Mus musculus: one gene and its partners. The protein of the gene in region 1 purifies or fractionates together with the protein of each later gene. This does not show direct contact. Links are inferred from orthologs where the notes say so. Each region holds a gene or a part of one and is shown in the gene's direction. Other genes may lie near its edges. The genes, in order: Stx7, Vamp3, Stx8, Vamp8, Bet1, Stx6 and Pttg1ip.

Region 1 (4,355 bases):
TCTCAGCAGATATTAGTTGTCTGGATCCGGTGGCAGGAAGGATTCAAGAGTCTGGACAGGACACTTAAGGCTTTGTTGTTCCTAATTACCTGTGTGACTTAGAAGTGTTTGGTGTTTCAGGTTCCTTAATCTGTATTATGAGGAAACAGAACCAGATTTTCTAAAAGGGACTCTGTAGCTTTAACAGCTAACATGACTTTCTATTAGAGGTTATTGCCTTGTCAAAGAATGATTTTTAAAAATAAAACAATTTTGAAAAAGGGAGAGATTTCAAAGAAAAACTTGAATTTCCTCTGTATCTTGGAAAACATACAATGTCACTATGATGGACTAATACTTCTAAAAGTTCACAGTGGAGATGATAGGTAGAACTCAGGGGTAGATCAACTACCTGAAATGTGAGGCCTTGGGTTTGATCCCTCATTCCTCAAAACAAAACCACAAACAACCCGGGACAATGATACAGGTCTGTACTCTGAACGATGAGGCAGGTTGCAAGTTCAAGGTCTACCTGGATTACAGAGTGAGTTCAAGGTTAATATCTGGGTAACCTGTGTAGACTTTGTTTCAAAAACAACAACAACAACAACAAAAACCACTGGAGATAGAGGACAGAGTGAAGGCCTCTCATGTCCAAGGACCTTGGTTCAATTTCCAGTGCTGGACAAAACAGCAAACCTCAACAGTTCACCATGGCCCGAGCTGAATCACATGACTTTAAATGAGTACATGTTCTTTGATCCACTGGGTGGATCCTACTGAGAAGACGCTGTGTTTGAGTCTGACCTAAGTCATCTACGTATGCTTGCAGGTGTAAAACCAACCAACATACAGTTTGCTCTGTGGTTCTGATTCACAATAGTATGGATTCCCCCTACCTCCACTTGAAGTCTATCGAACTTTTGGTATCATGTGTTTTCATGCTCTTTCCAGAAATAACACCATCTTAATTATAGGCAAATCCAAGGCAATCTATTCTAATTAATTTGGCAAAGTATTTCTTTCACATGAACAACTGATGTTTCTCATCCGAGAGGTCACATGCTTGAAGAGTTATTGTTGGAACAGTGTGTGCTCTTAAAGCCTGGGAAAACCACATCCTGTATTTCAAGGATGCGATACCAACTATGAGCCAGGAAAACATCTTTATCAAGTGGGCATTAGGAGATTATCTTTCATTTATCCTTCCGGGGCTTTAGCTAGGATTGCCTTGACATTTTTGCAGTGACATTTTAAAAATGGAGTTGTCAAGTCTACCACAGAGCTGAGGGTTAGGAAACAGAACCTTTAAAAGCTGAGAGTGCTCCCTCAGTCCAGGGAGTCTGGCGCCTCCGAATAAAGAACCCAGCTCTTCTCTATTGTATTGCTTCCTCTTCTGTTGCCCATAGACATCACTTTGTCACCCATCAGAGCTTGGCTCCCCAGCAATTTTGCCAGTCCCTCCAAGCTTCAGCTGTCACTGGCCAATGGGAGAGACGCAAGCCCCGCCTCCTCCTTCCTGGGGCTGTGCCCCGAGCATGCGCAGTGGGCGTGCTTGTGCCGCCGCCCATCAGCTGAGACCGGCTGCGCCAGGCAGTGGGCCCCCGGGTGACAGCGGCTGGAGGTGGCCGAGGAAGCCGGCGAGGTCAGGGTAAGAGGAGACTGCAGAGGCGGGGGAGAGGGGGGCGGGAGGGACACCTCAGAACTGCAGCTCGCTAGTGGTTGCTTTGGGGTGCGCAGAGCGGGGCTCCCCAGGGCGCAGGGCCGGCGCCTCCCTCTCGGGCTCCCACGCCCCGCTCCGGACTCCGGGACGCGACGTGCGAGCACCGGGGCGCGCGGCAATGGAGCCTTGGGGACCGGATACTACCGCCAGATCCTGGCAGGCTACGACCGTGTTCCCATTCTCTGTCAACTTCTCCTCCGAAGAACAGAAAGGGAAACGCGATGGGCCCTGGTCATCTGGCCACAGGTTCGTTCCGCGGCCCAGGGCCTTTGCTTGGCTGTTGGCCTTACTCACACAAGCTAACTTTCTTTGACCTACCTTGTGCTCGTTTCAATTGATTTATGCAAGACACATAACAAGGTAACAAGGTATTTCGAGAATTCGCATATGTGTTTTCTAGGTTAAATTCAGACCAAAAAAAAAAAAAAAGCTTGGACGAGGGTGGGAAGAGGAAGGAAGCTTTACAGTCAAATGCTAATTTTTCCTTATAGCTGTTAAAATTTTGCTTGCATTTTATATGCATATATCAATTTTTGATTGCGTCAGATCTCGTATTTTGTCAGGAATTATTATTTACAAGTTTTCCACAATCAGGAAAATAAAAGGAATTAACTGTGAAACACTGGTTTGGTCCTGTTGGAGGTAGGCATTTCTTTTAGGTGTACTCTGAGCCGCAGTGAACAGAGATTGATAACACTGTTAAATTGTGCCTTGTGGTGCCGATGGGTCTTCGGCTTTGCAAGCTGCTTTCGAAGTTGGCCCCCAGGCTTGTGACTAGTTAAGAACGAGGCTGTAGTTTCCCAGTGTCTGGGGAAGTTAATAGAACACAGTATTAACTCACTGACCTCTGGGTTCTTTTCCTTCAGCTAGCTCACTTCTTATGCTGCTCCTGATTAACAGTCGTTTCTAATTCTGATTATTATCCCAAGTTCATCCATACGCTGCTGGTGGAAAATTATGAATAATTATGTTGAGCTATATGCCACTAAATGGTGTGTGCACAAGGCCCTGGTTCAGTCCCCAGTACTGCAGGGAAATATTACCTCTATGTCTACTAGTACTGCTAGATAAAACTCCCACAGTTAAGTCTGTGTGGATTTTTCTCTGGTTCAGTGTAACTTGAAATATTAATGTGTGAAACTGTGGAGGAAAAAAAATCTTGGTTAATTAAGCTGAAACCAAACAGTGTAGCGTTTGGATTGATGAAGGAGCTGGGCAAAGATGCACTTGTGGACCGAATACTCATATGGAAGATTGAGCACCCTCATGATTGATTGTCTCCTATGATTCCTCTCCTGTTTGTTTTAGGAATTGAAAACAAAGAGTGTGAATGCTCCCATCTTCTAAGTATGATGCATCGCTTGAAGTAGAAGTTACATTGATAGAGACTTCTCATTTCAGACCTGGCATCTTTAGTGTGTGATAACACCTTACTGAGACAAAGAGCTAGTCCTCAAAGGGGCTGGGTGTGTATCATGGAAAGGGCCATCTACAGATAGAAAGGGACACTGAGAAAAGCCCAGGTAGCAATAAGCCTGAAACAGTATTTTAGAAATGTTTATATTTACTCTTAGGCTGGGCATGTGTTCATAGGAAATCGGTACACTTGTTCATTCAGACTTACAACATTTATTCAGGATCTACTTTGTAGCCAAGTACTTAGAGAATAGACTAAGTCCAAGATTTACACTCCCCCACACACCACACATACACACACACACAAACACACACATACACACAGCACACACACACACCATACACACACTCCACACGTACACACCACACCCCACACACACATATACACCACACACGCAATACACTGCACACACATACCACACACACTCACACACCATACACACACATCATACACACCACACACACACACACACACACACACACACACACACACACACACAAAAATTAAAACCTGGGGAACAAAGGAGGAAACTCATATTTTATGCTGGGCTTCATGATTAAGAAAGTGAAACTGACCATTTGATTTGAGCAGGCTAAATTTTAAGCCAGTGTCTGCTCAGAGGAAGTCTTCAAGATTCTACAGTATGTCCATTAGTAACTACAGGGTAGTGTTTTACATTCAAGACTCTGTATCAAAATCCCCTTTGTTCATTTTTAAATTGCCCTTTCCACACAGTCTTGAGACAGCGCTCACTATAGGTGTTACTGTTTGACTCTCCCGTCTCCTCTTTCACCTTAGTGTTTATCTTCATAAAAAGATAATTACTGAGCTGTTGAGTTGAACCCTGCCCAGTAGTACTTTCTGTGGGGGATGAAGGGAATATGTGAGCTGTCCCAGCTGCTGGCCACTGGCCACATACAGTTTCTTAGCACTTGAAAGGTGGCCGAGGTGGCCTTCTTCTACCTTAGTTCATTTTGATAGTTGTGTGCAGGCAGTGCAGGTGCACATGAGGAGTGATGTAATTATTTTGAGCAAAGACACTAGGACACAAATGCTTTGAGTATTGCAGCTCAAGCTAGGCAATGCAGATGGTTATAGAGTACAAACATTTTATAAGCATAGAGTTAATTAGCTCACATGTAAAAACAGACTTCAGAGCCATTTGTCAATAACTGTCTATAAACATAAGTGTTTATTTCTTTCCAACAAAGGTAACCACTGTCCTGGTTGTTCTGT
Region 2 (3,558 bases), on another chromosome or scaffold:
GATGAGTCATCTCTGCAGCCTCCTATGAAGGAGTCTTAAGAGTTTCTTACATGTGGCACAGATAGTTGTACTCCTCTGTTCCAACCGGATGCCTTTCTTCCCCTGGATAATTGCCCTGACCAAGACTGCCAGTGTAGTGTTGAACAGCCATGAAAGTGAAACATCCTGTTGTTCTGCTTCAGATCTTAGAAGGAAGTTGAGTCTCTCACCATAGTATGTGATACTAATGTGGGCTTCTCTGTAATTGAAGTCTCTTCTATTCCTGGTTTGCTGTGTGGATGTATCCCAAAGGCCTGGGCTTCCTTCTTAAGTGGAAGTTTAGCTCAACATAATAAAGTACTGATCTGGAAAAAAATACAAAGTGCCCATAGGTGTCATGTGGAGTTTTGTTCTTCCTCTCCTTTCCGTGTAACTGTGACCATGTCCATTTAGGTGGTTGACATCATGAGAGTCAATGTGGATAAGGTGTTAGAAAGAGACCAGAAGCTCTCGGAGCTAGATGACCGCGCAGATGCACTGCAGGCAGGTGCCTCGCAGTTTGAAACAAGTGCTGCCAAGTTGAAGAGAAAGTATTGGTGGAAGAACTGCAAGGTAATGCTCTCTTGACAGACCTTCACAGCGGGCCTCCATACCCCAAGTGTTGCACAGGCACTCTGTTGCATTGGGTGACTCTGGGTAGTGGGTAGAATCTTGGCCAACTATGAGTCTATATCCCTTTTCCTGGCCCACAGCTGGGAATCTAATGCCATGTTTTGTGGCTAAAGTTAGAAGACATGCAGAATCAGACGGCCCAAGCAGTCGTGGGCACTAGACCTAGGTAACTGAGAACACACTGACGGGGCTATTGGCTTTGATGCTCAGTTAACTGCCCATTCTGGGAATGGCTCCAATTTCAAAAGTTAAATGCTGGGCTCGTGAGATGGCTCAGTGGGTAAGAGCACCCGACTGCTCTTCCGAAGGTCAGGAGTTCAAATCCCAGCAACCACATGGTGGCTCACAACCATCCGTAACGAGATCTGACTCCCTCTTCTGGAGTGTCTGAAGACAGCTACAGTGTATTACATATAATAAATAAATAAATCTTTAAAAAAAAAAAAAAGTTAAATGCTAAGAAATCCCACCTTGTTCAAAAAGAGGAGAAAGCAACATATGAATATTGTCCAAAGCAGACTTAGCAAATGGGAATGTCTGTGATTAGAGCTCACACACTTCCTGTTATGCTTTGTTTAGAAAGGACACTCTGAGATAATGGGACAAGATCAGGAGCCTGTGTGGAAATGTGTGTGTTTTCAGAGGTCACAGAGGATTGGAATCTACTTCTGAAAGCCCATAACTAAATTTCAGGACTTAACTGAAAATATAAAATTTAGGCTTTAGAAATTATATAAATTATTTCACACTGTAGCGGTTGCGGCGAGCACTGTCTGTTTTGCAATGTTAAATGGATCTGTCTTGTTGCAGATGTGGGCGATAGGGATCAGTGTCCTGGTGATCATTGTCATCATCATCATCGGTGAGTTACCCATGGTCATAGACGTTCGTCTGTGCAGCAGCAAAGAGTGGATTCAGTCCAAGGTTTAAATATCGTTCTTTATCAAGTATTTTAAATACTTGAGGGTGTTTTGAGATGATGGTATTGCGGGAAGTTTGAGGCAGGGTCTCGAGGCAGGGTCTCGATGTTCAACCCAGGCTGGCCTTGAACTTGTGATCTTTCCGCCTTAACATTTCAAGCGCTAGGATTATAGGCCTGTGCCACCAAAATGATCCTAAATATTTGAGTTTTTGTAATTAAAGTCTGGTGTTTTGTTAGATGGATGATGGATAGATGGGTGCACTTATCCTTTAAGAATAGCAAATCTCACTCCTAATGTCTGGTCAATTTTTCTCTCCTGTGCAGTTTTAGTCTGTGTCCTTTTGTGGAATGTAGTGATTAGCTGAGTTGATCCATCCCAGCTATGCCACCTGTAGTAAGGCTCTGTGACTTTGGGCAAGCAGTTGGGTCTGTCTGGACCTCAAGTGTCCTCATGAATAAAATGAAGATGGTAATGGTGTCCACCTTGTGTTGTTAGGACAAACCTGGTTATTACATAAGAAAGTACCTGGCATAGGAGAACAGAAATAGTAATTATGTAAATAATGTATATAGCTAGCACATAGCTACTCCCACCACTCTTGTGACTGCATATTAGAAGAACTCACTTTATTTTCATTCCAGTCTATGCGAACATCCTAGCAAAGCATGCCTTCCTTTGCTAGTTCTTGTTAGTATTTCCTTTTCCACTTTTGAGTTTAGTCTTCCCCAGAGCCCTGTAGCATGTAAAGAAGCTGCCAGTGGAAAACTGGCCAAGTCAGTTTCTCTCTGTCCCTCTTTAGACAGTAGAAGTCCATCCCTACTGAGTATTTGCACACACAAAGACTAACATGCCCTTTTCATTGTTTCTAAATCTTCCCTGCCTCTTAGTGTGGTGTGTCTCTTAATGAAGAACCGATGAAACTGAAGCCCGATATTCAGGATCTTCTTCAAGACTTTCTACTTAGAACCTGCCGTGTTATCGAGCTTACCTATTGTTTTTTTTCCAAATGATTATTTTTGTTAGTTTACATACAGTTTAGTGCCTAGAAAATGTGCCTTTGTTTTTCATATACACTCCAAACTGGAGGTGTGACCTACCCTCCCCACATTTTGCACAGTGCCTTTACAGATTTCTGGACTGGGAAAGAGGACTTGTGTAGTTCTGAGTGCTGAATGGAGGTGGATGTTGTCACTCAAGATGACTTGTTGTGGATTCCAGGAAGGGGGTTTTGTTCAAGGCAGCTGTCCCCACATCTGACATCATCTTCAAAACCACATTTTAAACTTTTGGGTAATTAGATTCCTAACTTGGACCTTCCAAGAAGAACACTACTGCCTAACAGCAATGGGTGACAATAGCAGGGTGTGCCTTATTTTGATAGCTAGGAAACTGTTCTTTAAGATTATTCTCCGTTTGTAAGCACTACTGACTCCCGCTGTATTTAAGATGCTGGTGAAGAGCTCATGCTCTTATGTTAGATATGACTATGTTTACTTTCTTGTTCTTGTTGTATATCACTCCTAAAATAGTATTTTAACCAGAAATAACCCTTTAAGAAGTTTTTATAGAACTATGACCAAAGTTTCTATTTTGCCAAAAGTTAAGTACAAATAAATTGCCCCAATAGATACATTCAAATAAGTGCCAAATGTAACTCAAGGTGTCCTTTAAGAAAAATGTTAATACTGTGAGAGCGAGCCTTCAACATGTCGGCAGTCCATCCTGTGAAATGCTATAGAGAAGGCTAGTCATTCTGATTTGGTTTCTTCTTTAGAGCTATGGAGGTGGGCTCAGATCACACCTGTAGACAAGATACTTAGCCAGCAGTTTGTAGACTGAGCTAGGCTGTGGTCTCTAGTGCGATGTGAGCAGTAGCCGTGCAGCCTCACCAAGGCATCAGTCTGCACAGAGTTCCAGAAGACTGTGTACTGCTTGTACTCATCTCTGTCTTATGCTTGAGGTAAGCCACCGGTCACTCGTAGAG
Region 3 (3,558 bases), on another chromosome or scaffold:
TTGAATCTTTCCAAGCCCAACACTGTTGAGCAGCAAGTGGAAAGCCAGTCAGCGTTCTGAGAGAACTGTGGCAGGCTGAGGAGTCTGCCAGGCTCTCCTGTCAGAGCGGTTTTTTTTTTTTTTTTGCTGCAGATACACAGTTCCTGCTGTCCCTGCAGTGTGCTTCTGCACGTCACTTCTCATCTTTCCTCTGTGTCTCCTGCCCTGAAACAGTGTCTCCTTGTCACTGTGTTCTTTTAGACCAGGCTGGCCTCGCACTCCTTCCTCCACCTTTGCAATGCTAGGATTAAAGGCATGCAATACCACACTCAGCCAGCACTTTCTTTTAAAGAACTTTAACCTGACTTTGACTTTGATGCAGGTTCTCCACATACGATTCTACGTGTCAGATAGCCCAAGAAATCGCTGAGAAGATTCAAGAACGAAATCAGTGTGAAAGAAGAGGTGAAAAGACACCGAAGGTAATACATGGAGGAATCAACGTGCTAAGCTCCGATGTCTGAAACCATTGCTAGATCTGGGGCATGCGGGGCGTTGTGGGGTGGTGTGTATGTGTGTGTAAGTCTTTTAAATCTTTGAAATGTGTTTTCATATGTTGTAGCGAATTTTACTTTTTTTGCCACTCCCCGGAGATATAAAATCCTCTATATTTCATTCACTGACTTTATATAGCTGCTGTTCTTCATACTTTTGATAGCCACTGGCATCACACTCCATAGAGTTCACACCTTTGGCAGCTGCTGGCACCCTACCCTTGGGTGTGTGTGTGTGTGTGTGTGCATGCACCTGTATGTACTTGTGTGCATGTGGAGGCCAGAAGTTGTTTTGTCACTTTCCACCTTGTCCTTTTGAGACTGGGTTTGCCATTGAATCAGGTGTTTACCAACTTAGTCAGACTGGCCAGTTAGCTCCAGGCTGCCGTGCCTGACTTTTGCCTCCTGTGTGGCCTGCTGGGGATGAAACACAGATCCCCAAGAGTGTGCAGCAAGCCGGTTCCCAAGCCCTCCCCTAGCCCCCTGTGTTTTGTTTATAATAACTCCTTATCCAATTGTGTGGGCTACATAGGGAGATCTTATCTCAACACCAAACAGGTTAAGCAGCAAACCAAAGAAATAAATGCAGTACCCAGTCATGTGCACACTATGATAGGCACAGGCACTCCCCTTTATTTTGCATAAATATCATTTGTCTTATTTTCATTCTCTTTTTCCCCTTCAGGGTAATTTTACTTGTTTGTTCATTCATTCGTTTGTTTGTTTGTTTGCTTGCTTGTTTTTGAGTCAGGGTCTCGCTGTGTAGCCCAGGGTGCCTTGGAATCACTGTGTAGTCCAGGCTAGACTTACACCATGATCTCATCTCCTGAGCCTAAGATTACAGATGTTTGTCATTTTATAGGTAATTTTATAAAATGTCACTAAAAAAAAATTGCACTGTATCTTAATTATCAATAACAAGATTCCAAATGGATTTTAAATAGACAGGTAGTGGGTTTGTGGATTAAGTAAAGGGGCGGGGTCAGGTTTTCAGTAGTGCTAGTGCTTCCTTTTGATCCACTCTAAGCGCAGCGTTTACTACGTAGTTACTGTGTGCCCACTACCAGTTTACAAATATTCCTTCAGATTTTGTTGATATTATTTTATGTTTTTAATTAATTAATTAATTAATTAATTAAGAGACAGGCTGTCATACACCCAGGCTGTGCTTCTGTAGTTCAGGCTGGTCTTGGGCTCCTTATCCTCCTACTTCCACCTTCTGAGTGCTGGCATAGTAGGTCTGAGCCACCATACCTGGCTTGATCACTCTACTGAATTGACTTTGTGCGTGTGTGTGCACACACGCAGTATATGTACTTGTTTATGTGTGTATATACACGTGTGTGTCTCCGTGTGAAGGCCAGAGGTTAAGGATGGGTGCTTTCTTGATTGCTGGGTAGTTTTTTTGTCTTATTGTTGTTGTTCTTGTTATTGTTTGCTTGTGGGGTTTTTGTTTGCTTGTCTGTTTTGTTTTGAGACAGCATCTCTCATTGAACTTGGAACTTAACCAATTTGGGTAGACCAGATGGCTAGTGAGCCCCATCGATGCTCCCATCCCCATATCCTCAGTGCTGGGATCATCAGCGTGCCTGGCCTTTTTACATGGGTGCTTGGACCTCAAACTCGGGTCTTCGTGCTTGCATAGCAAGCACTCTCCTGACAGAACCATCTCCCCAGCCCCGAACTGATTCTCTTTCACTTTCTCAAGGGGATTATTCTCCATCTGCAAGTAATACTTTAGTTTCCTTTGAGCCCTTAGTATTTCCTGAGTCTTGATCTGTTAGTAAGAACTTCTAGATCACAGCTGAGTGATACTGTTCAGACAGTGTCGTCTAAATTTCCCTACACTGTGTTAATCATATGCTTATTCTGTTTTTAATCTTTGACACTGCGAGCTTTCTTTTTAGGGTTCTACCACTAAGCCAGTCTTACCTTGCAAGATAAAATTGTACTTCATGGTAGCATCTTGTCCTTTTCAATGTAGTTCTGAGTTTTCTGATAGTTCACTAGCGTTTTGTCATCCTTGAGTGGGAATGGCATGCAGGAGTTTTTGTTTGTTTTGTTTTTTCAGTTATTTAAGTCAGTGGTTTTGCTTCTTTTTTGTATATTCTGAAATTTCTGCTTTATTACAACTAAGGAAGTTTTCTCTTGATTATTAAATATTATTTTCTTATAAAATTTTAAGAGATCTTACTACGGAATGCTCCCCTATGGCATCACAGTGCAGTTGGTTTCTGGGCTATTTTCTTTTTGGGTGACATTTCATTTTATGACTTGATTTAAAATTTGTAAAATTACATTTGTTTGAGTGTGCGAGTATGTGTGTGTGTGTGTGTGTTGTGTGTTGTACCCTTTGGATAGAGTTTGTGGTGTGTGTGTCCTACTTCTCCCTGAGCTATATAGCTGCTACTTTGTTGTTGTTTGTTGAGTGAGGGTCTCACTGGAAGCCTTTGCTGGCCTGGACCATGCTGACCTTTAACTCTTTCTTAGAGATCCTCTCACCTCCTCAGAGCTGGGATTATAGGCGCGCCCCAACTCGCACCCTAACATGCCCCAAGTAACTGCTACTTTTAGCAAGCAGCAGTGAGAACAGTGGCATTCTGCCTTTTTAATATTCCTCTCTGATTTCATCCATGGTCCAATATGTTTTCATTTAAATGGGTCCTTTTGTTCTTCACATTTCCAAATGTCAGAGTGGGGCTCTCCCCACCCCTTCTTCATCTTTAGAGTCACAAACAGACATGTCCTCTGGGTTTTGAGGATGATTGGAGAAAATTCCCACAGTTGTAGAAGAAGAGCCATGCATGGTTAACATTCCTTTCATGGAAACAGAGCACGCACTCTCCAGTGTTCACATGGGCTATAAATACACCAGAGTGCTCAGAGACCAGTCAGGATGGTAATGGGACCTGACACCTTGTCATCTGAAGTATGGTTGAGGGAACTGTTGGGCTTTGCTTTTGAGCATAGACTGGGGGAACACAATTTCCTGCATGGCTCCAGGGTGGATAAAATACAGTGAATT
Region 4 (4,213 bases), on another chromosome or scaffold:
ATAATAAGATAAAAACTTTTAGCCGGGAGTGGTGATGCACACCTTTAATCCCAGCACTTGGGAGGCAGAGGCAAGTGGATTTCTGAGTTCGAGGCCAGCCTGGTCTACAAAGTGAGTTCCAGGACAGCCAGGGATATACAGAGAAACCCTGTCTCGGAAAAAAAAAACAAACAAATAAACAAAAAAAAAAAAAACCCAAAAAAAAAACCCAAAAAAACCAACAACAACAAAAAAAATTTTTAAAGATTTTTTTAAAGTGTTACTAGTTGCTTTAATTTGCTTCTGTAAAACTAAGCGTGCAGTGTTTGTAGATATAGCTCCTCCATGGCTGCCTGAGCAGGCACGAGGGAAAACACATAAGTGTCCCAAAATGATTCCGGGATTCTAAATTTATTATAGCCAACAAAATGAAACAAAACAAAACCCCTCTTATTTGTTGGAGGAGCTAAGATTTCCTCCTTGACGGTGTTATTTACTCTGGGGTGGGAAAGAATGTCTGTTCTCTTTCTGCCCTGTTATTGTTCTGTCTTGACAAACTCCATCCGGAGAAGAGCAGATTTTCTCTGGCGGAGAGCCACATGTGGTGGAAAAACCCTTTACTCTTAGGCCCCCATCCTAATCTGTCTGACAACCCTCTGACAACTGACCAGGGTCACCAACCCCCACGGTGACCTTTGGAAGGAAGTGTAGGACTGCTCAACTCCAGAAGGAAAGGAGGGGCTGGTGAGTGAGCCATTTCCCCGACTGTCCTGTGTCCTGTGACAAGGATAAGGTGCCCTGCCCCTGCTGTTTGCACTCCTCCCACTGCCTGAGGTCAGCCTTAGCACCCGAAGAACATTAGAGGGGGACAAAGATCCCACCCCCAGGGCCAACTTGGAATTTTCCTGGAGATTTTAAAGACTTTAATTATGTGTATGTGTGTGTATGTATGCACACGTATGTTCACATACCCACAGAGGCCAGAAGAGGGCATCTGGACCGCCCCTGCCCCCCCCCCCCCCCCGAGATGCAGATACAGGTGTCTGTGAGCAGCCAGGGGTGGGTGTAGGGACCTGAACCTGGGTTACTGCAAAAGCAGCGGGTGATCCCAACTGCTGACCCATCTCCCTAGCCCCCGTTTTCTGGGGGATCTTAGAGCTCTCTTCTCATACAGGATGGCCCTTGGGGACAAAGGTTGCCCAACAAGGTATCTTCGCCTGTACATTCGTTTCTATCTAAATAATGCTAATGTAAGTCCCTGAAAAACTAGAATTACTTCTTTGAAGCATAAAAGAAGTTTCTGAAAACTTAGGAGGACTGTTGATCCTTCTTTTCTCCTTCCCCCCTCCCCCAACCCTGTTGCTTAAGCTTTTGTTTGGGAGGAGACTAGGAGGACGGCAGCAGAGGGCAGCCGCCTACCTGGAGAAACCTGCAGTTACGTGTGTGGCAGGAGCCGGAGTGGCTGGAGTCGCGGGATGGTCAGGAGGCGGGCTGAAAGTTGGAGTAAGCAGGAAGTGAAGCTGTGGCTGCCTTGGGTGGAAACAGACTAGGCGAAGTTCTGCTTTGAGAGGCCCAAGTGCTCCGAGACATGGTGAGTGACGTGGGGACCAAGAAAAGAGCGAGTTAGAGCAGCTGCCAGAGGGGGATCGGGCCTGGGGGTTGCCTGTGTCGAGAAAGGTAAGTTGGCGGCAGTCAGAGGGCTGGCGGGGTTGGGCCAGCGCTGCCTCTGTCTCCTTACTTTTGACAACTCCTCCACAAATAGCTCCGCACTCCGGGCCAGGGGTTCCTGACACTTCTCCACCTCCTTCCTCCCGTGACCTCGGTGCTGGATCCGATCAGGATTTCGGTGGGGGTTGGGGGACCCAAATTCCAAGCCGAGCTGCTGCGCCGCGCCCTCCCCCTCCTCCGCCTCCTCCAGCTGGGCCTGAGCCCGGTGTTGTGACATTACCGGGCCACAAGCGTTCCTGCTCTTTGGGGCTCAGATTCCAGCCCCGCGGACTGGAGTTCTCCCCCTTACCCTCGCACTGTATCTATGCAGACACCCAGAGGATCTATCTGCCTGGCCACCAAAAGCACCACCCTTTTCTAGAAACATTAGCAACAGTGCCAAGGGTTTGTAAAGCAGCCAGATGGCGGTTCTTCCCGATAATCTAGCTTCAGCCCACACCCGTGGCCGGTACCTGAGGCCCCCTGGGTCCCTAAGGGAGGAGTCAGGCCTCTTCCCTCCTTGTTCAAAAGCCTTATCTAGAGGCCTCCTGGATAGAGCGACCGCAGCAGGAAGGACTTTTATTAATATCTGCATAAGCAGGCGGTGGTGTGCGGCCTACCAGGCGTTAAATTGTGGGGAAAGCAGAAGTATATGGTCCAACGGCACATGATGCCTTCTGGGGGCCACATCCACTGAACCGGGGCTACACTGCCCAGTAGGCTGGAACCAGAACTCACCAACAGCTGTCTGGAGAAGGGCATTTATTTGGGTTGGGCCGGGCAAGAGTGTGCTGCTGGTCAACTCTCACAGTTTTAGAGAGAACCCACTAGGATTGAGCCGAGGGAGGCTACAGGAACCAGTTAATAGTTCTTGGCTGTGCTCTGCTGAGGAAACGTCAGCTGGGTTTTCTCCTTGACCCTCTTTGTGGAGTCAAGACAGGGGCAGTCGTGTGCTGTTTTTTTGTTTGTTTGTTTTTTGTTTTTTGTTTTTTTTTGTTTTTCCTTGTCACGCTGAAAATCCTCCAAAGAAGGTGGATGAGAATCCAGGGTCAAACCTCATCTTCTGGGACTTAAAAAATGCACTTACATGGCTGGCAGCCGAGATGGCTGGGCAGGTACAAGTGTTTGCAGAGCAAGCCTGCCTGCCTGAATTCAGTATCCTGCTCTCTCCTGCCCATCCAACTGGAGGAGACAATCCACTCATGAAAGTTGTCCTCTCACCTCCACATGCGTGCCGTGGCATGTGCATACACGTATATTCCCCAGCACACACACACACACACAATGCACTTATGACAGACTAAGGATGTGGTTCAGCTGATAGAGTGTTTGCCTGGCAAGCGTCAAGCTCTGGGTTTCATCCCCAGCACCTCATAAAACAAGGATAATGGTACACACCTGGAATCCCAGCCCAGGGTAAGTAGAGACAGGGGGTCAGATGTTTAAGGCCATCCTACTTAGGAAGCCTATGGCCTGCCTAGGTTATATGAGAACCTGCCTCAGATAAATAAATCTGGGGAGGTGGCTCAGTGGGCTTGCTACGCAAGCATGAAGATTTGCATTGGATCCCTAGACCCATTTAGAAGGAAAAAAATTCCAGGTGTGGTGGTGCAAGCAAGCACTTAGGTGGCTCCTAGTGCTAGGGTGGTGGAGAAGGCTGAGCCCTGGGGCTTTTTGTCCACTCTAATCTCAGAGCCTCAGGCCAACAGGAGACCCAGCCTGTGGGGGAAAAAACAAGGGAGGAGTGACACCTGACCACCCGAGGCTGATCTGGGATATAAACGTGCTTGCATCGAAGTGAACATTTACGTAGAACATTCTCCTGGTAAACAGTTGAAGCATCAGAAACGGCTAAAATCTACTTTAGTTCTTCCAACCTCCTCTGGCCTCTTGGATCCTCTGCTGCCCGGCCTAATTAACCCCTTATTGACATCCAGGAGGAGGCCAGTGGGAGTGCCGGAAATGACCGAGTTAGGAACCTGCAGAGTGAGGTGGAGGGAGTCAAGAATATTATGACCCAGAATGTGGAGCGGATCTTGGCCAGAGGGGAGAACCTGGACCACCTCCGAAACAAGACAGAGGACTTGGAAGCCACGGTGAGATTGGGAGAAAACTGGGAGTTGGTGGGGGCAGATCTCGGGGAGGGGGAGAAGTTTGGGTGGGGAGGCAAAGTGAACAGAAGGGACTGCAGACTGTCATGTCTACTGCCCTTTTGCCTATGCAGGAGATGGCTGAGGTTCCACCTCTGCTTCCTTGCTACTCTGCTGGCTGGTAGAGAGCCCAGTGAGTGGTTGGATTTGAGCTTGGGTGAGGGGCCCACCCACAGAGCCATTTCTGAGACAGTTCAGTCAACTGCTCCATTCCTAAGCTTCATTGGGGTATGAAACTGATTTTTGTCTCAAAGCTTGCCCTTGGCAACCATTTGGAGTTGATGTCCCAAAGGCAAAGTTATGAGTTCCGGGCAACCCTTGGCCTTTCAGCATTCTCCCTCCAGGTGTAATTAGGCTGGAAGTTGGTGGGGGGCGTC
Region 5 (4,171 bases), on another chromosome or scaffold:
TTATGGTTATGCAGCCAATGTAGTGACCCTGTGCCCTTGCTCAAACCCCCACACTTGTTTGGTGTGCCTCATTGTTCTGAAACTCTTAATAATTTTTGTCTTTGATCTTGTATCATGCAAATGAAGTCTAATGGCATAATATAACATGCTCATGTGCAAATGATATATTTGTAATAAGTGTTTTTATTGTTCTTCATTAATATGCTCTGGATTCTGATAGCCCTCTGACTCATCAAATTTTGCAAGATATTAAAAGCTACAAGGTGAAGATGGCATGTTTATGCTCGAGTATGAACACTTATAGTTCCCATAGTCACATGTTGTACTTGAATAAGAACTTGTGATAAAATCATCAAGGATCTTTGTTATATCCCCATACTCATCTCACATTCTGTATTAGTTGAATTGAAAATTATCACATAGCAATAGAAGCAAAGAAGGCGGAACTTAGACTCTTTCTTTCAGCCATCAAACCACAGTAAGCTGAGGGCAGAGTGTTAGTGCAATGTGTTTCTATTATGAAGTATAATGTGTGTAGTGAGGTGGTTCAGCAGCTAAGGGTACTTGCTGCATATGTAGCAGAGGATGGCTACATGCTCCATGGAAACAAGTATGAGGTATTTGTGTGTACGTTTTAAAAGCTCTAAGTAGGGTGGAGTGTTTAAAAGCTAAATATCACAGTTCTTTCCAGACTTAGATCAAATGCGTTAGGAAGCTGAGACTCCCCACTTCCCTACCCGGAAGTTCTACTGCAAGGATACATACATACATACATACATACACACACACACACACACACACACACACACACACACACACACATATATATATATATATATATATGTGTATATATATATATATTTTTTTTTAACTATTCCACTGGGCAGGATCAGGAAGGAAGAGGATTGATTTTCCTTTCCTGCTAAGAGGCTCAGACAGTAAGATGAGACTCTGTTTGAACAAAGTTTGCACTGACTTTCTCACCTCTGACTTTGGGTGAGCGGGAGTGCAAGGGAAAATCATGAAAGAGTCAACCATCATCCCGGCTAGGGAGGGGTAACTCTCCCAGGTTAAAGTTGGCACTAACATCAAAAAGTGCCATACTAAAAGTTCTGGATTAAGTAATGACCCAGAATAACAGGACTAGAGCCCCAGCAGCTGTCGCTGCCCTTCCGGAAGCCCCGCCCATTCCAGGCATTGTTCCTACCACGCCCCTCTTACCCAGTGCCCCAGAAGACGGAAAACTACATTTCCCAGAATGCAACTAGTAATCGCATTTCAGGACGCCTATATGTGTCCGAGTGACGACATAAACCGGCGCGGTGTTTAGACTTTACTGATGTCGTGGCGCTCTGAGGCAAAAAGTTGTTGCTCTTAGGAGCCCTGGGACTGAAGCCGAGGTCGGGTGACCCTGGCCCTTTCCTACTCACTCCTCCTTGCCCGCCTTTCCCTCTCCTGGCAGGATGAGGCGTGCAGGCCTGGGTAAGAACAGTGCTGAGGTTCGAAGTTTGGGGACCCTAGGACCTGCTGAGTCGGGAGCAGGGTTGTGGGAGGAGACTACCGGCCCTCTGTCAATGACTTTGGTGTTCAAAAGCGAGTTATTTGGGTTCTTTGGAGAAGGTTCTCTTCCTGTGTCCTAGTTCCGAACGGTTTCCTGAAGTTGTATTTAGACAAAAGTTTAAACCTATATGCTAGGTTGCACAGAGCGGTGAATTGGTTAGCATAAGTTTTTCTTTTTCTATGTGCTAGTTTGGGGAGTAACCCAATTTCCCAAGCCTTGCTGTTTCCTTTGCTTTACTCATTCTGGATCTTAACTTTTTTTTTTTTTTTTTAAGAAATGACATTTGGGGAGTAGTAAGCTTTAAGCCCACTAATAATGATGCGTTAGTTTGATAACCGTGAGTTACAAAGGTGAATTTACGTGTCCTTATTGTTAAAGTGCCTGTTATGAAAGGTCTGGGTCAAAGGCGAGTTACTTGGAACACTTCTGACCTAGACCTTGTCCCACTGCTAAGGCAGTAGATGTTGGTTTTGATGACTTAAATGGGTCAGGGGAAGGAATAGCTTAGTAATAACTGAAGTTCTTTCTCTATTAGCCATGTCTTAAAGAAGGAAGGGCAGAATGCTTGAAAAAAATGTGTGAAATATTAAAAAGGATGTTGCTGTTCTGGCAGACATTGGAATAGTAAAAAAAAAAATAGTTTTTAAAAATTTGAGGTGTTAAAGCCAGTGAATGGACAAACACTTAAAGTTAGGTATGAAAACTAAAGCCTCTTTTGCAACTCATAATTCACGGCTTGTTATGGGTTTTGATTATGTAAGAAGGAACACAATATTCATGACAGTGCAGAGACATGGTAGTAGTTTCAATAAGGTTGGTTATAGGAATAGAATGTGTGGACTTTAAAACCACTGAAAAATAAGGGCCTTGAATGGTGTCAGTAATATAGATTGACAGGGTTGTCAATAAGTAGTTGCATGTGAAGAAGTTGTAAATTTAGTTTTATGAATCCTTTCAGTCATTGAAAGAAATTAGTTCATCTCAAATAACCTAAAGAACTATTTTCAAACATGATTAGTCATATATGCCTACATTTTTCCAACACTAATAACAGCAGACATTTATTGTGACGCACCATGTGCTTCCCAAAGCTTTCAGGGTTACTGTGGAGCAGAAGATAAATTGCTGCGGAAGCAGATGACAAAGTACGATCCAAGGTGGTAACTTCATCCCAGTACAGGTTAAGTTCATCGGATAGTAAATGCAGTGGGGGCTTAATAATCCATGGCTCACGGTGGGCTTCCTGGAGCCGGAGAACCTGAAGGATGCTGGTGACTGTGAGGGTTGGGAGAAGTAAGTCCCAGATGAGAAGATGGCCAAACAAGATTCAGGGTAGTTATGAATGATGTATACAAGAGGTTGTGGTGATGAAGTCACTCTGAGTGAAGCTAGGACCCTGAGGCACCCGAACGATCTGACTATTCAAGGACTTTACATTCATCAGTAGGCCACTGGCCTATTGGAATTTTGTTTGTGCTGTACTGTTTTTAATACGTGCAGGTCAGGGATTTGACAGTAGGTTTCTATCTCTGACTTGTATTGTATGTTACAATTACTCAGAAAGATGTTAAATTAGATTTTCAATTAAATTAGAATCAGCAGGCAAGAGTCCCCTCCTAAGTCTTTTTGAAGTGCAGTGAAGAAGAGGGGTAATTATTTGTTTAAGTATGCTTATCACTTAAATTGGTGTTGAATTATGAAGACCTAAAAGTATCATTGTGTGCTGACCTGAATTTGAAATTTGAAATAATAGTGAGTCTGATAAGCATTTGTATGTAAAACCTGCCACCTTACACAGGAGCTGTTAAATGAATTGGCCTGCTTCAAGGAAGTAGCACTTTTCAGATGGCATCAGCTGGAAATGACCTTCAAGACTCGCCTTTCTACAGTTCATCATAGTAGTAATTAATTCTCACTGAAAAATTGGATCTCAGTTGGAATAGCAATTGTAGTATTTTATTTTACCTTAGTTGGTTTTGTTTTGTTTTTCTGTTTGGGGGTGGAAGATGATGTGAAGAAAGATCAAATTTGCAACTGCATTAAAATTTCTGGATCAAAAAAAGGAACATTTTGCTTTAAAAGAACAAAGTAGAAGAACTCTGAAATTAAGTATAAGATAGGCTAGAGAGTCAAAACAAAAGAAATAAATCAAAATAGCCATTAATTTTGGACAAATTAGTTAATGAAGTTGTCCAGTGATTAACTATCCAATCCAGAATTACTTAGTCACATTAAACAAGTTGAAGATCTTAAATCTTGTTAAGAGTTTGCAGAGATTATTTTAAGTGTTGATTTTAGTTGGTGAGCTGCGAAAAACAACTATGCCCTGTCCTCCAGCTTTTAATCTGTTTGAAAATATGTGTGGAGAAAGAGAGAGACCATGCCAGCCAGCAAGTGTGCAACTGTCCCCTCTCTTTGAAATATTTAACATTTTGTTATGGCTTTTGTGGTAAACGGAGAAATATAGGCGTCTGGTACATAGAAAGTGCTCATTAGGTGCAAGAGGCCAGAGAAGCAAAAGACATTCTGCTGTTGACAAAATTGGTTTACAGTAAAGGAAAAATGTCCTTTTTAGTTCATTTATAAGTATTTACTTAAGTATTGTTGTAG
Region 6 (4,349 bases), on another chromosome or scaffold:
GAATACTCCTCTCCACAGGCCTGGGAGCTCCTTGGGGACAAGAGTATTCATCTCGGAGTCCTTAGTGCCCTGAGCAGAGTAAAGAAGCTCAGGTGTGCTGGATTTTGCCAATACTTTGTACACTGTAGGAGAAAGATGTTACTATGGTATCCATCCAGAGACAGGACAGTCAACAATTAAGAACCTGGCTTGACACGGCTTCTGGGACTAGCAGAGCTGAGGTTTGACCTTCAAGGATCAGGCTCATCTGCTCTTCCACTTACATGCCATTGTCAATGAACATTTTATCTCTGAATTTCAGTAGGTAGGTAGCCAAAGCCTGCAACTCTCCCGGCAGCTCCCCTTCCCGACACCTGCCACCCACCGCTCCTTCAGGAGTTCAGAGAAGCCTGGCGTCTTTGACTTTTGCTTCTCACTTCTCTTCTCCTCCCTTCCTCTATCATGTCCTCTTGCTGTCCTCTAAACAACAGCTTCCTTCAGGGGTCCCTGACGGCATTGGGGCCTCAGAGTTCACATAACATTCCTCCTACTCCACCCCTACACATCCTGGCTGTCCTAGAACTAGCTCATTAGACCAGACTGGCCTCAGACTCATAGAGATCCATCTGCCTCTGCCCCTTGAGTGCGGGTCTTAATGGTGTGTGCCACCACCACCTTACATCTTAAAGATGAGGAATTGAATGGGGGACTTCAGGTTCAAAGGGAATTTGTTTGATGCAAGCTCCAAGGAGACTAAAGAATTTGGCTAAGTCACGTAACCTCTCGGAGTCCAAGCTCATTCATAAAATGAAGATGATAAATAATAGGAATGTGACAGTGAGATAACTTAGAATCCTGTCCAATGCTCAGTCACTGCTCAGTGATTATCAATAATCAAAGGTCACAGTTCTCATCCAAGAAGTTACGCACAGTGTGTCTAATTGTGCCATATAAAATGCTCTGGATGTTCTGCAATCGTAGTTGAAAGGAAGTGATCCCGTCTGGCTCCTTCTTTGCTTTCAGAATGAAGTACAAATGTCCGGGATCTGTGGATCTGTGTGTCTGGGGTTGTGTGACCCTGTACAGGAAAGAATGAAGTCTCTAACAAATTAGAAACAGTAGGATCGTCCTCCAAAAGAGTATTGATTGAGGATGTTTATACAGCCTTTACACACTGCATGACCTAAGACCTTACCATAATCAGATCTTTTGAGAATCCTTTAGTGCAAGACGATGATTAGATGGGCATGTAAATCACAGGGAGTTAAAAGCAAGTATTAAAAGTAGAGAAAAGGTAAAAGGTCTATGCAAATCAGACACAGCAACAGCTTTCTTAAAATCCTCATTGCCTTCTCCAGGCAGCAGAAGACCGCCCCCACTATCCAGAGCCCCGCCTCTCGGGCCTAGTGACGCAAGCTAGGCTCCGCCCCTCTCCGGCGCAGGGCCTGGGCGATCTGGGTCACGTGAGCCTGAGTGCGGAAGTGAGGCTGCGGTACGCGTCCATGATTGGTAGTGGCGAAGGTTCTGGGGGCGGGGCCAGACGCCGGAGGTGCCGGGGGAGGAGGCTGCCGTGGGGGCCGGCTTGGAGTGGGATTCGACCCGCGGCGCTGACCGACTGCTGGACCGACGGCCGACGGGCACCCGGGTCTGCGCGCACTGCTGCTCCGGGTCGCCCCGGCCGAGGCGCTGGCCACGGTAGACCTCAGGGAGGGCTCGGGCTGCCGGGCCGGGCGCCATGTCCATGGAGGACCCCTTCTTTGTAGTGAAGGGGTGAGTGTGGGCCGAGGACTCCCGCCTCAGAGAGAGGGGAGGGAAATCGAGGCAGGGCGACACAGCCTCTGTGCTCGGACACCGCGCGTCGTTTGGGGCCGGGCCCCTGGGGTCCCACTATCGGCCCGCACCGCCACTTCCTCGGGGTCGCGCGCCGCAGGTGGGGAGCGACGCGCCGGAGCCGGCCGACAGCATCTGGGCAGGAAAAGGGAAATGGCCCTCTTGGAGTGGGCGTGCGCGGGGGCGAGCTCCATTGTGGAGTCGTGGAGCTAGCTCGGGACGGCCACCCCGCGGCTTGCCCGGTAGTGTCCAGCGGGTGCGGGAGCCGGTGCGGGAGGACGCGCGCTTTCCCGGGGGAGGAAAAGTCCTCCAGGCCGGGTGCTGATGTTGGAAGGAAAACAATATGCAATCAGCCAAACCAAACTTTCCGAGGGTTTCTTGTGAGCCACCGGGGTTTTCCCACCGTGTCGAAGGAAATGAGTGTTTCTATTGAACTCCTTGGTTTCATCCTGGGTGTTTGACAGGTTTCCCTCACTTCACGTTCTGCCTTTTTAGAAGCCTACTGCCCTCGTTTTGCGACAGAACTGTCCTGACTCCATCTTTGTTTATCTGTTGGGAGATGAAAACATCAATTGCACTTTGTTGTATCAACTTTGTAGCCATTACACAAAAGCAAGAAAGCGCAATTATGATGTCGCAACTTATTTCTAATAATGTGTCAGTTTTATGCTTTGAATGTCAGAGAAATGTCAAAAATCTGAGAACTGCGAAGTTAAGACAGAGTAAGTTCTACTGACTGCAAAGTGTTCTTTGCTTTTAACTAGTTGCTACTTGCATCTTACTTGTATAGTGGTAAAAGCTGACCAGTTGTGTGGGTGTTTGTTTTTGTATTTAAGAGTCCTGGGAAACTTAAAATGAGATACTTTACTATCCTTGGTGTGTACAGTCAATGCACAATCAAATATATTATGACTGCTTTTTTTTTTTTTTTTGGCTTTTTGAGACAGAGTTTCTCTGTGTAACTCCCTTGAACTCACTGAGATCTGCCTGCCTCTGCTTCCTGAGTGCTGGGATTAAAGGCCAGCTTGGCTAAGATTGTCTCTACGTTTCCTTAAAAGGGTTTTTCTTTTGCCTTGCTTTAATTTAGTCGGGGAATAGGAAGGTATATATTTAACAGTAAAATCTGCCTACCTGGAAATTGTGTTCTATATTATGGAATTGATTAAGATTTTAGTTGGTTTTGTTTTTAAATTTAGAGTTAGAGTTGTATACTTTTCCCTTGAATGGAAGGGTTTTCTTGGGTTTTTGTCTTATTTTGTGGAGTGGTAAGTGAATGTTGTGGCATGCATGTGGAAATCAGAGGACAACTTGCAGGAACTTCTCCTCTTTCACTGCGTGGGTCTCAGGGATCTAACTCAAGTCTCAGGCTTGGCCGCAGGCACCTTTGTCTGCTGAGCCATCTCACCAGCCCCAGAACTGAAGTTTTTGACATTCAGGTTGCAAAGGTTATCTCTGGCAGTGAGTAGATAGCAGAGGTAACCAGCGGATTTCTCTGTTCGCCTTTGAGGGAAACATGGAAAGTTCTTTATTGCTCAGCCATATTGGTATTTACCCCTGCAAGTCTACTAGCACTTACTTTACTTGCTGACTAGGTATTACTACTCTATTAGGACACTGTCCTCGGTCACTTGTTGCAGGAGAAAAGACAAGCCAGCCACATCAGTGTCTCAGGATGTGTGATAGCATATCCATGAACATCATTTTATTAACAGGATTGAGGGCCACTGAGATATCTTGGTAGATAAGGGCTCATGCAGCCAAGCCTGATGACCTGAATTTGATCCCCAGAACCCACCTGCAGGAATTTACACACACACACACATACACACACACACACACACACACACACACACACACACACACACTCTCTCTCTCTCTCTCTCTCTCTCTCTCTCTCTCTCTCCAAAGTTTCAAAAACAAGATTATTGAAAATGCATCACAGGGTAGAAAAAGTAAAGATGCCTCAAATATGACTCTGAAACAAGGTGCTTCTAGAGTAATCAGCGGAATAAATCACATCAGAATTAAGTAGACATGACAGGTGATCGGTAAGTGTAGCAGTGTTTCCTAGAGATGATGAGCATCTCAGGTGTTCAGAGAAAAGGCAGTGCCTTAGGAATTGTTATGGTGGGAAAAGCTATTGGAACAGGGATGTTTTGAAGGTAGCAGAATTCAGACAACTTAGACCTCTTTCTCCTGTCTAGGGATTTAGAAAAGAGACATGCTTCCTGCTTCCATTTTATTTCTTCTATCTTTTTTTTTTTTTTTTTTTTGGTTTGTTTTTGTTTTTCGAGACAGGGTTTCTCTGTGTAGCCCTGGCTGTCCTGGAACTCACTCTGTAGACCAGGCTGTCCTCGAACTCAGAAATCCGCCTGCCTCTGCCTCCTGAGTGCTGGGATTAAAGGTGTGCACCACCACTGCCCGGCTCTTCTGTCTTTTGATGTGTTTGCTTAAAACTACTCAGTGGAAGCGGGAGGTGGTGACACAGGTCTTTAATCCCATCACTCCAGAGGCAGAGGTAGGCAGATCTCTTGAATTTG
Region 7 (4,124 bases), about 53 Mb from region 1:
GCTCTGCCTTTGGCTTCGTTCTCTGCTGCTTTTCACCCTAGCAGAATTAGCTGCCCTCCTGTTTTTGTTGTTGTTGTTGCTGTTGTTTGTTTGCTTTTTTTCCCTCTCCATAAATCTCTTGTGTGCCTCATGTGTCGTGTGACTTTGTGGTATTCCTTGGCTCCCAATTGCCAGGAAGCCTCTCTAGCAGAGCTGTAACATTTTCCCCGGAACAGAACTTGGCTGGGGAAAACCTGCCTGGCCGAAGTAAAGCTGTAACGCTTTCACTGGGGAAAGCCTCCCTCTGGCAAAGCAGAATTGTTACACTTTGGCTGGAGAAGTCTTCCTCTGCAGAGCAGACCTGTGACACTTTCCATGGGAACCCCCTCCTGCAGCAGAACTGTTATACTTCCTTTGGGAAAACCTTCTGCCGCAGCACCAGGAGTGGAGCTGGAACGCTTCAAGCCTTTCCCTTCAGAGTTGCAACACTTACAGTCATAACTAGCTTGTATCAAATGGACATAAAGCTGGTGGGCTCAAGCTTGTATCCTATTTTGCTTACTCCTACTGGAGTCTGGGTCTTTAATGAGTCGAGAAACTTGGGATCCAGAGTCCCGCATTGATCTTTTTGGTGTCTGGCTATCTAGGTCTCTGGTTCATGCACAATCAAGCAGGGAAGGTACCCTCTTACTCAAAGCTCCTGTGTCTTCAAGTTTGCGTCCCCAGTCACTATCAATAAGGATTTGTTTTGTTTTCTTTGAGTCAGGGTCTCATTGGTTAAGGAAGACCTTGAACTTCTGATCCTTCCAATGCTCCACCCCCAAGTGCTGAGATGATAGGTGTGTGTTATCACGACTCATTTGTGAGGTTCTGAGGATGGAACTCGGAGGCTTTGTGCATGCATTGGTTGCCAGGCAAGCAATTCTACCATCTAAGCTACACCCTCCACATTCCCTCAGTGATTTAAACGCCTTTCAGTAACAAGTTCGAGACAGCTTGGATGCTGTTTTAACGTAAATCCACAAAACCTGCCCTCTGGACACGCATACGGCTCTGGCAGAGAATTAACAGGACTGGCAGAGGTTTCCAAGGGTTGGCGGCTACAGAGCAGTTGTGTTAGGCAGAGCAGCTGAGCCTCAGAACCCGCCTCAGAGTCCAGCAGCTCCATTCCAGAGCAAGTGGCAAAGCTTCGCTGTCCACTGCCCAGCCTAGTAGTCTACTACGCACGCGCGCTGCTCTGACGCTCCGGTTATTGCTCCCTCCCCGCAGTTCCAGCAGCGCGCAGGCGTGCTAAGCCTCAGCTGCGCCCGTAGGCGGGCGGAGGTCAGGGGGCGGAGCCAGCGGCTGCGCACTCGCAAGCTCCGCCCGTCTGGCTAGCTTACGGAGGCGGAGCGCTTACTGTGGAAACATCCTAGCTCGGCGTTGGAGTTGAGTCGCCTGAGGTCCCCGCCGACGACGCACTCACCATGGCGCCTGCTAACCTTGGGCTGACGCCGCACTGGGTGATGCTCCTCGGTGCCGTGCTGCTGTTGCTTCTGTCCGGAGCCTCCGCGCAGGAACCTCCGAGAGTGGGTAAGGCCCGTGGGCCTAGGGGCCGAGGAGTAGGAGGAGGGCGGCCGGGTCGGATCCAGGGCGGAGTCCAGCCCGCGGGCTTGGCTGCCTCTGCGCTCACGCCCTCCCTTGAAGCTGGGTAAGGCAGCCAGCCTCTGCTGGAAGTTAACGTCGTGCCCTGAGGCACGAAAGACTCGGCTAGTCGGAACCGACGCCTCGGCACCTGCTTAGCATCTCGGGGACCATCTGCATTCCAGCACTGTTTTTGTTTGAGGGGAATCAGGGAGCTGACAAGTTGTGTCCAAGACTGAGGCTTGGTCAACTTTGACCTTTGTACGCTCGCTAGAGTTGATGAGGCGCTGCAAGAGAGTATTTTTGTTAGCTCAGGCTCTCTCAAGGTGTCTTTACACTCTAGCCTGTCACGGTGTGTTTTCTCTTTGTGACCTTTTGCCAGTTGTCGCGTCTCTCTGTTTAAGTTTCTTATCTGCTCCCAGGTATGCCTAGGACCGGTCTGGGACTGCCTCACTCCTGCTACCTTGGTGAGGGTGACTAAAGGAGCTGACCCTGGCCGCCCCGGGGAACTTGGGGCTAGATTCTCCAGTAAGGACTTTATGCCAGGCAGAGTGTTGGGGAGCCTGTGGAGACCCAGGACCCTTCCCAGTGTCTCAAGGGTGTCTGCTGCGATACTGGGGGGAGGGGGGGGGGCACGAACCTTCACCTGTTACCAACCACCACGTGTTAGGTGTAAGGATTCTACTCCTTGACATTCTATAGGGAGATAGCTGATGTTTAAAACGGCTAGTCTTTACAAGGAATTTGCATAAATTTACATTACCGTATCCTGTATCCCAAAACTCGCCTTTTTTTGTTGTTTGAGACTGGGTTCAGGCTGGTTTTGAACTTTTTTGTTTGTTTTTTCGAGACAGTGTGTCTCTGTGTAGCCCTGGCTGTCCTGGAACTCACTCTGTAGACCAGGCTGGCCTTGAACTCAGAGATCCGCCTGCCTCTGCCTCCCTAGTGCTGGGATTAAAGGCGTGTGCCACCACGCCCAGCTTGGTTTTGAACTTAAAGGTGTCTGCCTGCCTCTGCCTCTCAAATGCTGACCATAAAGCATTTGCCCTGCCTGGCAAAACTCACCCTTTAAATATTTTTTGTGTGCTTCACAGAACCTGTAGTAGATTATAGATCCGTAGAGTGAAATTTGCGACATTGAGGACACTTTGACAGGGCTTTTGGACCCTCTACTAATGGCGTGTGGAGTCACTGTCTCTGAGCTTCATCTTGGGAAAACAGTCCCTAAAAGGGCTGCAGTGGTGTTAGGAACACTAAGACACAGTGATGGCTGGTGCAGGTCTCCAAGTAGTGGGTCCTTACTGAACACCCCAGTTTGTAGAGGAATCTGCAGTTCCCCTCCCTCTGTCCCTGAGGAACCTGCCTTAGTGAACTGTATTATTCAATACTGCATACATGCCTTTTGGGGTGTCCTGCCCCTCCTTTTCTCAAACAGTGCAGTGTTGAGGACTACTTTGTCAAGCAAGTGTACTCCCAACATGACATTCGAGATGTCCTCTGAGTTCTGAATTCTGTCACCAGAGTGGGCACTCTTAAGCCCTTTCAAGTTCATTTCACTTGGGGGCACAGGAGATGGCAGCATGTTTCATAGGTTTACAATGAGTAAGGTTCACTTCCTTAGTTTCCACAATTATTCCTTTCCCACATGTAGGTGTGTCTTTTTGTCCTGAGGACCTGAGTCGACTCACCCGAAACGTCAAGGACCCACTCAGAAGCGAGTCACTATTTATTGCCTTTCCATTTAGTTATTAAATGAGTCTGAAAGTTCTTTAATAATGAGTAAATAGCTATTCTAAACTGAACTCTAAGCCACAGTGCCTCAGAGTCAGGACATCCGTGATCAGCATTGAGAAACCACAAGGACATTGTTCCTATCTCCAGTGTGTGGTTGGCTGTGTCCCGTGATGAGGTGAGAGATACTGTGTGTGGCCTCCCTGAAATGTGAGCCACGGGGCAGCAGGTTGTCAGTGTTTCCTTCCTTGCCACATGAGTCTGGGAGTTACTTCAGCCAGAATGCCTGCCATTGATGCTCTCCGGTACACAAGGTCTGTGGAGGAGGAGGGCTGGCCCCTGGGGATTCAGACTGCCAAGTAATGGGCAGGGCCAGCATGGCCATTCTCAGGGACTCAGGGGCTCAGGGTGTGTTTCTTGGAACTCAGTCTTTCAGTTCTCAAAAGCCCAGTTACCAAAACATCCTGTAACAGATCCGGACCTCGTCATTCCGGGGACATTGTGTGGGCTGATAGTAAGCAAGACCATCCTTTCTTGTGGATGACTTTGAAAACGCTGGAGAGTGGGTGTGTTCAGCACACCCTCAGCTGTCAGCATTAATGAGAAGGATCCCAGTGTGGGGGTGTAGGAGCGCTAAGGGGCAGTACAACCAGCTAATGGTGCAGCTGTCCTGAGTGACCGCATACTGTGCTGCTCCCTCTCTGTGCTTGTTAGGGTCGATCTGTCCCTCCCCTCCCCTCCCCTCCCCTCTCTGTCTCTCTGTCTCTCTCTCTTTTTTTTTTTTCTTTATT

What was found.
Region 2: the proteins of Stx7 (region 1) and Vamp3 purify together in Homo sapiens (affinity purification with mass spectrometry; 3 studies listed by BioGRID and IntAct, counting the BioPlex papers as one, with this or other methods). This does not show direct contact. The link is inferred for Mus musculus from reciprocal best matches to the Homo sapiens genes STX7 and VAMP3.
Region 3: the proteins of Stx7 (region 1) and Stx8 purify together in Homo sapiens (affinity purification with mass spectrometry; 5 studies listed by BioGRID and IntAct, counting the BioPlex papers as one, with this or other methods). This does not show direct contact. The link is inferred for Mus musculus from reciprocal best matches to the Homo sapiens genes STX7 and STX8.
Region 4: the proteins of Stx7 (region 1) and Vamp8 purify together in Homo sapiens (affinity purification with mass spectrometry; 7 studies listed by BioGRID and IntAct, counting the BioPlex papers as one, with this or other methods). This does not show direct contact. The link is inferred for Mus musculus from reciprocal best matches to the Homo sapiens genes STX7 and VAMP8.
Region 5: the proteins of Stx7 (region 1) and Bet1 purify together in Homo sapiens (affinity purification with mass spectrometry; 3 studies listed by BioGRID and IntAct, with this or other methods). This does not show direct contact. The link is inferred for Mus musculus from reciprocal best matches to the Homo sapiens genes STX7 and BET1.
Region 6: the proteins of Stx7 (region 1) and Stx6 purify together in Homo sapiens (affinity purification with mass spectrometry; 3 studies listed by BioGRID and IntAct, counting the BioPlex papers as one, with this or other methods). This does not show direct contact. The link is inferred for Mus musculus from reciprocal best matches to the Homo sapiens genes STX7 and STX6.
Region 7: the proteins of Stx7 (region 1) and Pttg1ip purify together in Homo sapiens (affinity purification with mass spectrometry; 3 studies listed by BioGRID and IntAct, counting the BioPlex papers as one, with this or other methods). This does not show direct contact. The link is inferred for Mus musculus from reciprocal best matches to the Homo sapiens genes STX7 and PTTG1IP.

The regions. Positions count from the first base shown.
Region 1 is NC_000076.6:24,147,779-24,152,133, forward strand, and holds the start of Stx7 (syntaxin-7), read left to right. Parts: upstream 1-1,510; 5' UTR 1,511-1,630; exon of another isoform or gene 1,631-1,948; intron 1,949-4,355. UniProt on the Homo sapiens protein: May be involved in protein trafficking from the plasma membrane to the early endosome (EE) as well as in homotypic fusion of endocytic organelles. Mediates the endocytic trafficking from early endosomes to late endosomes and lysosomes.
Region 2 is NC_000070.6:151,047,950-151,051,507, reverse strand, and holds part of Vamp3 (vesicle-associated membrane protein 3), read left to right. Parts: exon of another isoform or gene 1-432; coding exon 433-591; intron 592-1,461; coding exon 1,462-1,513; intron 1,514-2,461; coding exon 2,462-2,478; 3' UTR 2,479-3,558. UniProt on the Homo sapiens protein: SNARE involved in vesicular transport from the late endosomes to the trans-Golgi network.
Region 3 is NC_000077.6:67,969,411-67,972,968, forward strand, and holds part of Stx8 (syntaxin-8), read left to right. Parts: intron 1-361; coding exon 362-461; intron 462-3,558. UniProt on the Homo sapiens protein: Vesicle trafficking protein that functions in the early secretory pathway, possibly by mediating retrograde transport from cis-Golgi membranes to the ER.
Region 4 is NC_000072.6:72,387,831-72,392,043, reverse strand, and holds the start of Vamp8 (vesicle-associated membrane protein 8), read left to right. Parts: upstream 1-1,376; 5' UTR 1,377-1,567; coding exon 1,568-1,570; intron 1,571-3,623; coding exon 3,624-3,782; intron 3,783-4,213. UniProt on the Homo sapiens protein: SNAREs, soluble N-ethylmaleimide-sensitive factor-attachment protein receptors, are essential proteins for fusion of cellular membranes.
Region 5 is NC_000072.6:4,084,088-4,088,258, reverse strand, and holds the start of Bet1 (BET1 homolog), read left to right. Parts: upstream 1-1,328; 5' UTR 1,329-1,463; coding exon 1,464-1,482; intron 1,483-4,171. UniProt on the Homo sapiens protein: Required for vesicular transport from the ER to the Golgi complex. Functions as a SNARE involved in the docking process of ER-derived vesicles with the cis-Golgi membrane.
Region 6 is NC_000067.6:155,157,179-155,161,527, forward strand, and holds the start of Stx6 (syntaxin-6), read left to right. Parts: upstream 1-1,524; 5' UTR 1,525-1,714; coding exon 1,715-1,749; intron 1,750-4,349. UniProt on the Homo sapiens protein: SNARE promoting movement of transport vesicles to target membranes. Targets endosomes to the trans-Golgi network, and may therefore function in retrograde trafficking.
Region 7 is NC_000076.6:77,580,377-77,584,500, forward strand, and holds the start of Pttg1ip (pituitary tumor-transforming gene 1 protein-interacting protein precursor), read left to right. Parts: upstream 1-1,278; 5' UTR 1,279-1,445; coding exon 1,446-1,551; intron 1,552-4,124. UniProt on the Homo sapiens protein: May facilitate PTTG1 nuclear translocation.